Arabidopsis thaliana: one gene and its partner. The protein of the gene in region 2 interacts with the protein of the main gene of each other region in a pairwise test. Each region holds a gene or a part of one and is shown on either strand. Other genes may lie near its edges.

Evidence for each region. The genes of interacting proteins can lie anywhere in the genome.
Region 1: the proteins of SIP1;2 (region 2) and AT3G26110 interact in a protein complementation assay, tested with the Arabidopsis thaliana proteins (one large-scale study listed by BioGRID).

The regions. Positions count from the first base shown.
Region 1 is NC_003074.8:9,539,077-9,543,467, reverse strand, and holds AT3G26110 (Anther-specific protein agp1-like protein), read right to left. Parts: upstream 1,986-4,391; 5' UTR 1,896-1,985; coding exon 1,509-1,895; 3' UTR 1,304-1,508; downstream 1-1,303. Other genes in the region: AT3G26115 (Pyridoxal-5'-phosphate-dependent enzyme family protein), read right to left, coding at 96-425, 505-547, 635-943, 1,093-1,167; AT3G26100 (Regulator of chromosome condensation (RCC1) family protein), read right to left, coding at 3,319-3,561, 3,659-4,043, 4,256-4,391.
Region 2 is NC_003076.8:6,053,986-6,061,000, forward strand, and holds SIP1;2 (Aquaporin-like superfamily protein), read right to left. Parts: upstream 4,384-7,015; 5' UTR 4,284-4,383; intron 4,232-4,283; coding exon of another isoform or gene 3,788-4,231; intron 3,593-3,787; exon of another isoform or gene 3,384-3,592; intron 2,716-3,383; exon of another isoform or gene 2,449-2,715; 5' UTR 2,423-2,448; coding exon 2,126-2,422; intron 1,748-2,125; coding exon 1,472-1,747; intron 1,372-1,471; coding exon 1,213-1,371; 3' UTR 1,085-1,212; downstream 1-1,084. Other genes in the region: APY2 (apyrase 2), read right to left, coding at 1-38; NAC088 (NAC domain containing protein 88), read left to right, coding at 3,788-4,231.

The DNA of each region.
Region 1 (4,391 bases), on a different chromosome or scaffold from region 2:
CTTGTTAACTATAATGCATAAACAATAATCTTGGTCAATTCTTCCACATTGATCTGGTCCACTACCTAAACTAGATATCAAAAATCAATCTTTACCAAGTAATGCAAGAGCATCTCCTGCGCCTTCATTAACGATCAAAACCTTTCTACGAGAAGTTTTCATACTCGAAAAATCATCCATTTTTGCAACATTCATAGTGTCACGTCCCTCAACAATGTCTTTAGCCCATAAGACAGTACCATCTTCCCCAGCAACAAGATCCGCATAAGTTCTTAGCATTTCCTCTCTATTCGCATACCTCGATCTTGGAACATACTGAACATTTCCATACATAGTTGAAACAAGGTTATAACCAGTCAAAACATCAGGCTGTTCTCCACGCAGTAGCAAATGTGATCTTAGACCTCTCTCAGCACAAGAAACAGCTGCAAGATATACAAATAACTGATTCAAATTGCAATCAAAAGTCAATACCATTTCTTCTCTAAAGATTCAAACTTTTACCAACAGCAGCTGTATGTGCACTTTGACAACCTCCACATGTAACCTACACACAAGAAAAAAACTTCTAAACTTTAAGCCATTTCCAAAAAAAAACCCAGTTGAGAGATATTATAAGTGATCACATTCTCACCAAATCAGTCACTTTATGATCTTCAACAAGTGGTAACAAAGCATCAAGCTTTCTAGCTTTGTTACCATTCACAAGAGGATGTAAAAGATCATCTCTAAGAATGTAAAAAGAAGATCCTTGCTTCGACTTCGACATTTCATCTCCGAGATGTGGACGAGTGTTGTTCAAGAAGGAGAATTTATCGATTCCTTTGACAGAAGAAACACTAATCTGCTGAATTGGAGATGCAGGACACTGTAATCCCCATTTTCTATCGAGTAATTTAGACACAAACTCTCGTGAATCGATCTCGGAAGTAATGGGAATTCTCTGAAATTGATTAAGACATTATCCCCAAAACGCAATGAAATCAGAAAAAGTTCAGATTTTTTTCTGCAATTGCAAATGGGTATTCTTAGAAGTGACAAAAGGAACGATTTTTAATTGATTTAGATGACGCAGAGAAGAGAAAAGAGAACCTGAGAAGACGAGTGAAAGTGATGAAGATTTGATTTTCCGGTCACCGCCAAAAAAGTTGACCGTTGGACCTTCATTGACGCTTCTCTCTGCAAAATTTCTTCTATTCCGGAGCTAGCGGAGAAGATATGGAGGTTTTTAGACGTGAAAAACACGCGCTTACTCACACGTTGATGGGCTAGGCCCTGTGAGAAAATACGGCCCATATATTGTGGGCTATTTTTGTAAATTTATGAGATGCAGAAATATATTAACCCCACAAATAAAAAACTTTCTTTATATTAGTATATTAAATATGTATCATCCCAATATAATCAATGTTACATCGAAGAAGGGATCGTCAAAATACATCTAAAACAAGAAAATATTACAAACATTTTTATTACAATAGTAATAAGTTCGCGCGCCGATCACAACTCTAGAAAAAGAAGAGCGATCCAGCAACTGCACCAACAACAGAGACAAAGCCAAAAGCTACGGTGGCATCGCTTCCGGAAGCTTCTTTTTGTGGTGGAGGATAGTTAGCGTACGAAGCATCGCTTCCAATAGGTCCGGCGACTGCCACTTCATCATCTCCATTGGCATCATCGGGAGTAACAGCTGCATCGTCGTTGTCAGTTGTTCCAATAGCATTGTCATCAGCTGGACCCTCTGCTATATCACCTCCAATGCCATCGGTTGGAGTTGTAGCGGTGGGAGCTGAGGCGGTGGTGGTTGACGGTGGTTTTTCGTTCTCAGCAGCTGATACGATCACGGCGGAGATAGCGACGAAGAGGAGGAGGAGAGCTAGGTGAAGACGCGCCATTATTTTTTAATTTAGTTATTTAGTAATCCCCAAAAAACTTTTTTTTTTTGAAAAATGTTTTATGGGTATTTTGTTTTATTTATTTATCTTGAATTGTGTAATGAGGGTCTTTGCTTATATAGTTGTTTGATCAAAGTGCTAAGATGACTCAACGCAATTTGAGGTTTTGCCAAAAATATTAAAGGTTGAGGAAAAAATTGCAAATTACATATTATCTTCTACTCCTAATTAAGCTTTTTCTAAATTCTAATCTTATCAAATATAGCAAAAACAATTTGAGAAATAGGATTTTAGATTTTTCTTCGATAGAATATTAGTACTCTAACTAGATTTTGACCCGCGGTATACCGCGGGGCTAGGTTTTTAATAAAATTTGTTATATAAAATGTATATGTAGATATTTGTTTTATTAATATTGTTTGCTTTATTTAGTGTTTAAGATAATATATATATAGATTTTAATTGTCATATCTAGGATTTCATCCGTAGTATATCGTTTCGTATTATTATCGATCAAAACCCGTCATACCATCTAATCATGCACAATGAAATTAAACATATCTAATGGATTTCACTTGTGGTATACCGTCTCGTAATACTATCGACCAAACCCGTCCTACCACTAACCCTGTTCAGTAAAATTAGACATTATTTTGTTATTTTTGTTTTAATAATACTTTAATTTAAAAAATATTTAATTCAAATCAATTTAGAAGTTTTCTTTCAAATATTTATTTAATTGTTATAAAGTTTATATATTATAATATTATAAACATGTCATACCATCTAGTCCTACTATCTAATCATGTTCGGTGAAATTATTTTATTTTATTTTTTTATTAATATTTTTATTAAAAGATTTATAATTTAAATCAATTTAAAGTTTTCTTTCAAATAATTATTTAATTTTTAAATATTTTAACCATTTTGGCAAAAATAACTAGGCCATGGAATAAGAGCATATTCTTTTGAATAAGATTTGCTTTTATTTGATAGTTAATTTTCGCATTGAATAAGCCAGTGGTAACCATTGTAAATAAGTTCCAACTCCATGATTTATTGATGTATATATAAATGTAAATCACAAAATGGCTGCAAAAATGTATATATAGATGTAAACCCAACAAATATGAAAACAGAAAATAAAATAAAAATTTGGTAGAAATTGAATCTGACAATAATTTGATTTAATGAAATTATTTGATAATTATTAACAACATAACCTAAAACTTAACCAATGAACAATTAGAATAATCTAAAAACCCTATACAATGAAATGTTAAAGACAAGTTTATGTTATTCCCCTTTTTGTACAAGCTTCCAAGTCTTATGAACATAAAAAGCAAACGCAAATTTTCTTGCGTTTTTGTTTCCTTGATGTCAAACGTAGTTTCTTACCAACCAAACCACATAAGTCAGCTAGCTAGCTGAGATCGATATCCACTTTTTCCGGTACACACCTTTCTTTTTGGTTCTTACCAAGCTCTGTTCCAAGCTGACCCTGATCGCCTGCACCAAACGCGAATAGCTTCCCCGATTCCGTGAGCGCAAATGTATGAGCGTTCCAGTATATGGAGTTCGTTAGACTTATCTGGACCATCCGCTCGTTCACTTGTTTTAGCGATGTTACTACCGTTGGACTTAGCACGTTTGCATGTCGATTACCCTGCAACAAAAAATCAAACCAGACATACGACTAAACATAAGTTTAGAACATATAATGTAAGCAAAAGAAACAATGGAGGCCATGGCCAATCACTAACCTGTTCATCAAAGGATGGATGGTGACCGAGACTAGCGGATTCGCCGCAGCCAAACGAGTAAACATCACCATCGTCTGAGACCACAAAAGTAGTGTAGTCTCCTGTTGCGACATGAACTGCTTTGACATGGCTTAGACCTTCAACAACCTTAGGGACTGATTCACACTCCTCGTTACCGTGACCTAAACATCCATATCTTCCCCAACCCCAAGTGCACACTCTTCCATCCTGACCTACCACCGCGGCATGCCAAGCACCCGCTGCAACTACCCTAGGTTGAAGATTCAATATCTGAAACTGCTCGATGACCCGAGGATACTTCTCATCTGTTCTTGACCCATGACCAAGTTTGCCTCCCAAACCGCAACCAACTGAGTAAACAGACCTAAAATAAGCATGCTACAGAGTCAGTGCTGCTGTTGGACATTTGCATAGTGTTCTATTGCACATGACCCATAGAAACATAGCAAAAAATTTAGGATCCAAATTATTTTTGTCAAAAGAGTTTAACCATACAAATATGACTACATTTGTTGTAACCTATAATATTGTTGAACTGGTCTAAAGTAGAAAAGAAAGTGTAAAAAAGGAACTCACATGCCATTTGGTTGACAGGCTAAGGCAAGAAGGTAGCAATAACCAGCAGCAATCTGCACAACGGGTACATTCTCGAGTGGGCCTAACAAAGGACGAGGCTCGACATCCGCAGCCTCAGTTTGGTGTCCTAGTCTAC
Region 2 (7,015 bases):
AGAGATTCGTGCCGTCCAATCCCACGCTTCGCCGTCATCTTACCTCCGTCAACAGAGTCGGATGTAGGAGAATGGTTACCAGACTCCAGGAGCTCAGTGGAAGAAGGCGAACGGTAGCGTATCTTACCGTTGCCGTTGCCGGTACCGGAGGACGCCGTGGTCTGCGGCGGATCCTGTAACGGCTCCAGATCGACGGTGAATTTGGGAAAGCGGCTTGAATCGCCGGATTTGATCTGGAATCCGAAGCTTGTGTGTGCTTCAGATCTGAATTTTGTATGAGAGAGCGATGGATGCAAACAAAAGACGTTATGGGTTACGATTGCGGGAGATGGGTAACTCCCAACTATGTTTAACTCTCACAATGAGCTTACGCATAAATTAGTTAAAGTTGATTTTTTTTTATATTGAAATTAAACAGTAGTAATAAATACCAAAATATTTAATTAAGTACTTCCTCTGTTTTAATTTATTTGTATTTTAAAGTTTTTGTTGAAAAATAAATGCTATTCATTAATATTTTTTTGCAAAAATTTATGATTATTTATTTCTTTTGATTATATTGGTATTATGCAGAATATTTTGTTATTGGTTGCATATATTATTTTAAATAAAAAATGACGTTATAGTATAAAAAAGATAAACAATTTACATAATTTATGTAGTGTCTTAACTTTTTATGTGTATGCAAAATTCTTAAATTATAAATAAATTGAAACGAAGGGATTATCACTAATATTTTCACTAACAACTCCTAATTTTTCATGAGATTTTTAATTTGACTGTTTACTTTTTATATTTATTTTTTTTGCAATTTTGTGATAGTGAAACTTGGTTGAATCGAACTTGGTATAATTTGATAAAAATCAAAGCTAAGTGGATATCAAAACCATATAAACCTGAGCTGTATGAAATTCGGTTTGAGTACTCTGGTTAATAGAAGTTGTAAATCGAAAACATGAACCTTAACCGGATTAACCCACCCTGACTCTCCTTCACGTACCGAACTTAACCAATACTACTCAACCGGACGAGAGTGAATTTGTAGATTACGCACTAACCGAGAAAATGTGAATCCATAAATTTTAAAAAGAAACGAATTTTTTTTTTGGGCTATAAACTATAAATTAAGTACAAATACGACAACAGCATAAAACATACAACAAATGGGATTATGATTCATGAAATTTTTACTTAGATTTTTCCATTTTTTTCTCAAGCTTTCTTCTGTTTTTTCTGAACCAGAGGTGGAGCCGGAAATATAATTCTAAAGAGCATCGCAGATAAAATAGCTCCGGTGTAGGAGCTGATCCAATACACATAAAAATGGTCCCATGTGTTGTGAGACTTGTAGATATATGCCCACCCAAACGCCTGCATCACAATATATACCACAAGACTATATATCAAGATTCATTTCAAAATGTAATAAAAATGAATTAACAATTCTTGAGTAGGACGAGTATGAACTTACAATGGCAGGATTCATGAATGGTCTAGTGAATTTAGAACCTACGACAAACACCGATACGGTAGCGAGTGCGAGCAAGAACGTTTTCGCGAGCAGTTTTCGAGGACCTCTTAGGATAATTAGTAAAACCAAAAATGTAACACTAAAACTTAGGACCACTTCAGAAATAGCTCCATTGTGTGCACCAAATTGCAATGAAGGCTTTCCTCCAATCCTAGTCTTATACTTTTCCGGTATCATCTCCATGATCGTTATCGCACCGCCTGCCGCACCAATTGCCTAAGATATATAAAAGGTTACATTACATATGGAAACAAATATGCCAGTGGGTACTTGGGCCAAAATCTCCAATTAAAAAAGTTTGTACGTTATTCAAAAACACACATGGACCACACACAATAAACTTCACATAGATCCAACAAACAAAGAAAATACATTGCTCTAACAACAAAATAAATGTAAAGAAATTCATAAACAATGTGTAAGGATAAAACTTTAATAGATTCTTATTCGAAGAGACAAGACACAAAAGCAAATACTCATATGAAAAGATGTCACAAGTATATGAACAAAAATCTTTCTGTTCAGAACAAAATAAAGAACAAGAAGAAGAAGTTGGTTTGGTTTCAAAAGCTAGCTTAGATCATAAACACACACCTGAGCAGGAGATCTAATGGCCAAGGAGAAGAGAGAATCACTGGAAACACCGGCGGTATAAAACGCTGCGTTTCCACAAGGATTGAAGCTAGCACCACCAAGAACGTTTCCAATAACCGTAAAAATCGAGATGGAGACAAAAACAACCAACGTTGAGATCACAAGAGGAGCCCAAGTGATACCATGAAACCCTACGGCGGAAACAATCGCCGCCGTCTGTATCCCAAACGTCGCCGAGAGAATAACCCACAAAAAGGTTATCACCATATCACCTAACGCCGATTTTACCGCACTCATCGTAAGTATCGTTTTTTTTTCTTTTTCTTGAACGTTTGGGTTTAAGAAGATTGTTTTCTTCTTGTTGAAAAGAATATATTTATCAGTCCACTCAAAACTAATATTCTTTTTTTATATAGAAGGAAGATATGTATGACTATGAGTGACTCACCTAACGGTTAGCTGAATTTTGTAGAAATGTAGATAGACTATCCCAAATTTATATAGAAAACAAATATACTTTTGTAACTCTTAGAAAAAGATAATTGAAAAGTTTGTAGAGAAAAAGATGAAATCCTTATGCTCTGATTAACATAGAGGGCCTGTTTAATTCCAAAATGGGTTTGTTGTACAAAATATGTAATGAGTTCATTTCCATATTCTCTGCCACCTCAAATGACCATGGTTCCTTTTTGGTGAGCTCTGACTATGGAAAGTCTATACTGCTTTTTTTCTTTTTCCTTTTTAGTGTACTAGTGTACAAATTATAATGATCAAATGAATGTAGACACTATTGAGAACAGATACATGTAAAAATTAACTTATAGGAATTGAGCACAAACAAAAACCTTTTTTCTTTCCTTTTTCCAGTATATATTAGAGTAAAAAAAAATGATATACATAGGCTGGTATATAGTCAAGATATTATAAAAAAAGAAAAAAAAAGGACAGAACCTAAACGAGAAACATAATTTATGGTTCTGCAGAAAGTATACCCAAGAGGCCAAGACCCCCTCTTGGGACGAAAAAGAGAGAGTTTGTTGCATTTCTTGATATTCAAGTAATGAGATCGCATGTTATTATTAGCATAAATTCGTTAAACGATATTAGCTAAAAGAATTAGGATATGCTTATGAGCATAAGTATCAGGGGTCGGCCCTGAGATTTTATTGTTATCTAACCTTAGAACCCAAACTTGTGGTCTGTTTAGCCAAGGTTAAGAAAGAAAGGTTAACCAAACCATTGCTGACTATTGGACTCTAGATAGGCCCAGCCCAGTGCGAAACCATACAAATTTTTTTGTTTTCCTTTTGTATCTCCTCTACATAATTTTTTTTTTCAAATTGATGTGTTTGGAATTATTGGGCCACAAAATAAATGTCTTTAGTTTTTTGAAAAATTATTAACTATTATTCGTTTATTTTTTTGACATCATTATTATTCGTTTGGTATAGCCCTGTGCCTATTGGATTTATTTTTATAAAAATAACATGAAAAACTTGTAAACTTTCCTTTTTGTATATTTATATATATCCAAAACTAATCCAAATTAGATAATATTCAATAGTCGGTTCTCAATCATACTCCACTTTATATAAACCTCATTAGAGGAGGTTCATAATTAATTCTCTCTCATTTGACTCGAGGAAATTTCAGAAGAAGAAGATGATGCCGATGACTGAAGAATTTTACGATGAAGAGGAAGAGCTTGGTTGCTTTAGATTTAATCCTTCAGAAGAAGAACTCATACTCGATTATCTTCTACCAAAGCTTGGCTTCCACCAACCAAACACGATATATTTGTTAGAAGACAGGGACAACATCTACGCCAAAGAGCCGTGGCGGCTTAATCACACAGAGAATGATATCTTTGAACCTAACGAGTGGTTTTATTTCGTGAAAAGGACAAATCGCAAAGTTAAAGGTTGGAAAGCCACTGGAGAGTTAAAAGATGTCGTGTCGAAGAAAACCGGTGAAGTGATCGGGAAGAAGAGGAATCTCAGGTTCTACGTTGAAGGTGATGAGAGCAAAACGAGTGGTTGGACCATGAGGGAGTATTCTTCCATTGGCAATCAAAACCAACGTCTCTGCCACCTTAAAGGACCATGATTCTGTTTGGTGAATATCCCTCAAAAATATGATGATTATGGAAAACGATGACTTCTTTTTTTTTTTTTTTTTTCTAAAGGTAGTTACGTTACTCATCATCATTTTATTTCGTTGTGTTTCGTTTGAAGATTCTCCCGTATTCTTATATCTTTATTAGTATACACATTATAAGTCAAGGATCTGAGAGTCTCAATGTTTTCTTGTTTATTTAATTAAAGATTATTCAAGTTTTTTATGAGGAGCTTTGCAGCTCTTCGCATGTTACTTTTTTCATAGATAACAATAATGGTTTCCTTTTTTTTCCGAGGAAGACAGTACGTATTATTCATATAATGTATGAAAATATAATGAGATATTAATATTTTCTTGAGAAATATATGAAATAAAGCTTGTATCTAAACTCTAAATCCAAACCCTAGAGTAGAAGAGGTAAACATGTTTCAACAAACTTTTATGATAAGAACTTATCTTTTGTACGTAGTATATATCAACAAAAAAGGAAGTTTGCTAGTTTTCTTGCTCTATTTAGTCAATCTATAAAAGATGAAAAAAAAAAAACGATATTGCTATTTGATTTCCTATATTTTTGTATGAATTGATTGTAGAGGATTCTTCTTCTTCTGAACATATTGTAGTAATATATATATTTTTAAAGAAATATTAGATCGAATCTCACAAACGGAAGAATCTTTCCACGTTTTGAGGAATACGGTCTGTCACTGTCACCTACACATATGAAATATAAGTCTGTTTAGGGTTTTTAGCGTCGGTCTTCAGATTTTGTTGGAATAGGATGTCCTAAACATCAAAGATCTAAAAATTAAATCAAAATTGAAGAAAAAACCTTAGATACAGATCTATTTTTGGACATTTAGTCACTCTTTTGGACGCTTCTTTGGACACACAAACACACATACCTTAGACACATTTTTCAAACATTTAAAATTTTAGATCCTCTATATTTGGATCCCATCATTGGACAATGTCAAATATAAATCTAGTTCAAATGTCTATTTGTAAATTTTTTATTGTAAAATATGGATCCCATTGTTGTAGATGCTCTAAGGGAAAATACGTATGGTCAATTTTGTCAAGATTGAGAAAGAAAAGTTGAACCATATATAATATAACTTAACATTGATTATGTTTTTCTTGTGGTATGTTTTGTTGTTTTGTTGTTTTTAGTTGTAGTTTTCAGTCTTACTCTCTTCTTTGTTTGATTGTTTCCCTATTAATCGCTGATGCAATTCAAAAATGGTATAAATATTTAACGTTATAAATTAATATAAGGTGAGCAGGAAAGCTTTATATTTCTTTATTACTTGCAAGTTTCATTACTTGTATTTCATTTCAATATTTATAGGATAAAGTTTTATAACATAAAAAATATAGTAGCTTCAACTTTTGTTATTATATAGTCTATGCAAAACCATTTTAAACCGACAGATAAATGCACACAACTGACAAATTTGTTGTTGGTTGAGGTATGGATTGGCAGCAAAAAGGAACTTTTAAAAATGTGAACTTTGACTGTGAATCTCCCAAAAACTCCCAACTTCTTCACCGTCATCGTCAAGCTTACGCCAACCACTTAATTTATTACACATAGACTATCATTTTTCTAGAGACAACCCATAAACAATAAAGCTACTTTTTCAAATGTAACCCCCATATTCTTTTTGTTTTGCTTTGTCAATAAATGTAAAGCCATTTTTTATTTTGTAACTGAAACATTTTCATTACTATTTGGCTAAATTAGCTAAACTTTTCTTCAATCGTTTGGCTCACGCTTCTTTTTTTTTTTTTTTAACGCGTGCGTTTAATTAATCTAAATGCAAACCATAAATCTATAAATACTTTTTACTAAAGAGAGTCAGTTACTCAAATGGTGAATAGCTTTATCATTCAGTAGCTACAATTTACGGGAAAAGAAGTAATGGTATCCAAATATTTAATTTATAGTGCTCTGAAAGATTCACCATATATTGAAAAACTAGAAATAGAATTTTTCTATTACCATTTTAATTATGGTAGACAATGTAAAGCTCATGTTTTTTTTCTTCCCAAATCTTGAAAATGAGTTGTTTAGATTTTTAAACTAATAGATGTAGTATTTTTTCCAAAGTCAATAGCCATGGTTTAGTTACAGAAAATAAAATGGCTACGATTTGGTCAAATGATTTATGGCTTGTAGATTAATATTCGATATTTAAAATTACGAGGATCATAAACAAATGGATTGAATAGGACTATAGGAGTGATTCATTTTCTAATTTTCCCATTGGGAAAATAGCAACTAGGTCAACGACAAAGAAAAGTCAAGACTTGTTTATTTCTGAATTCTGACCGTATATCACTCCACGAGGCCAGGCTCCTGCAACTCAAACGTCTGGTTTCAGTTTGGACCAATAAATAATTTTAGAGTTTATATCTTCTAAAATCAAATGTAGAATTTGCATGGATTATATATGGAGATATTACTAGTTTAAGATATCCTATAATACCAAAGTCATCCTCAAATGTAAACACTGAACTGTTTCCATTTATTAGTATAGACTCATTGATTGAAAATAATGGAAAACTATAGATGATGATAAATAAGGAAACATCAAAGAGCTAAGTATTTATAATAGCTAATAATTAAAAATTATATCCATCATAAACAAAATTCAGGAATTCCCATGTGAAAAGAAAAGTGGACCGACAATATAATAGTCAATCATCACAAATAGTAAGAACGTAACATAGCGTTAGATGCGTATTCATATAACATTATGAAATGCT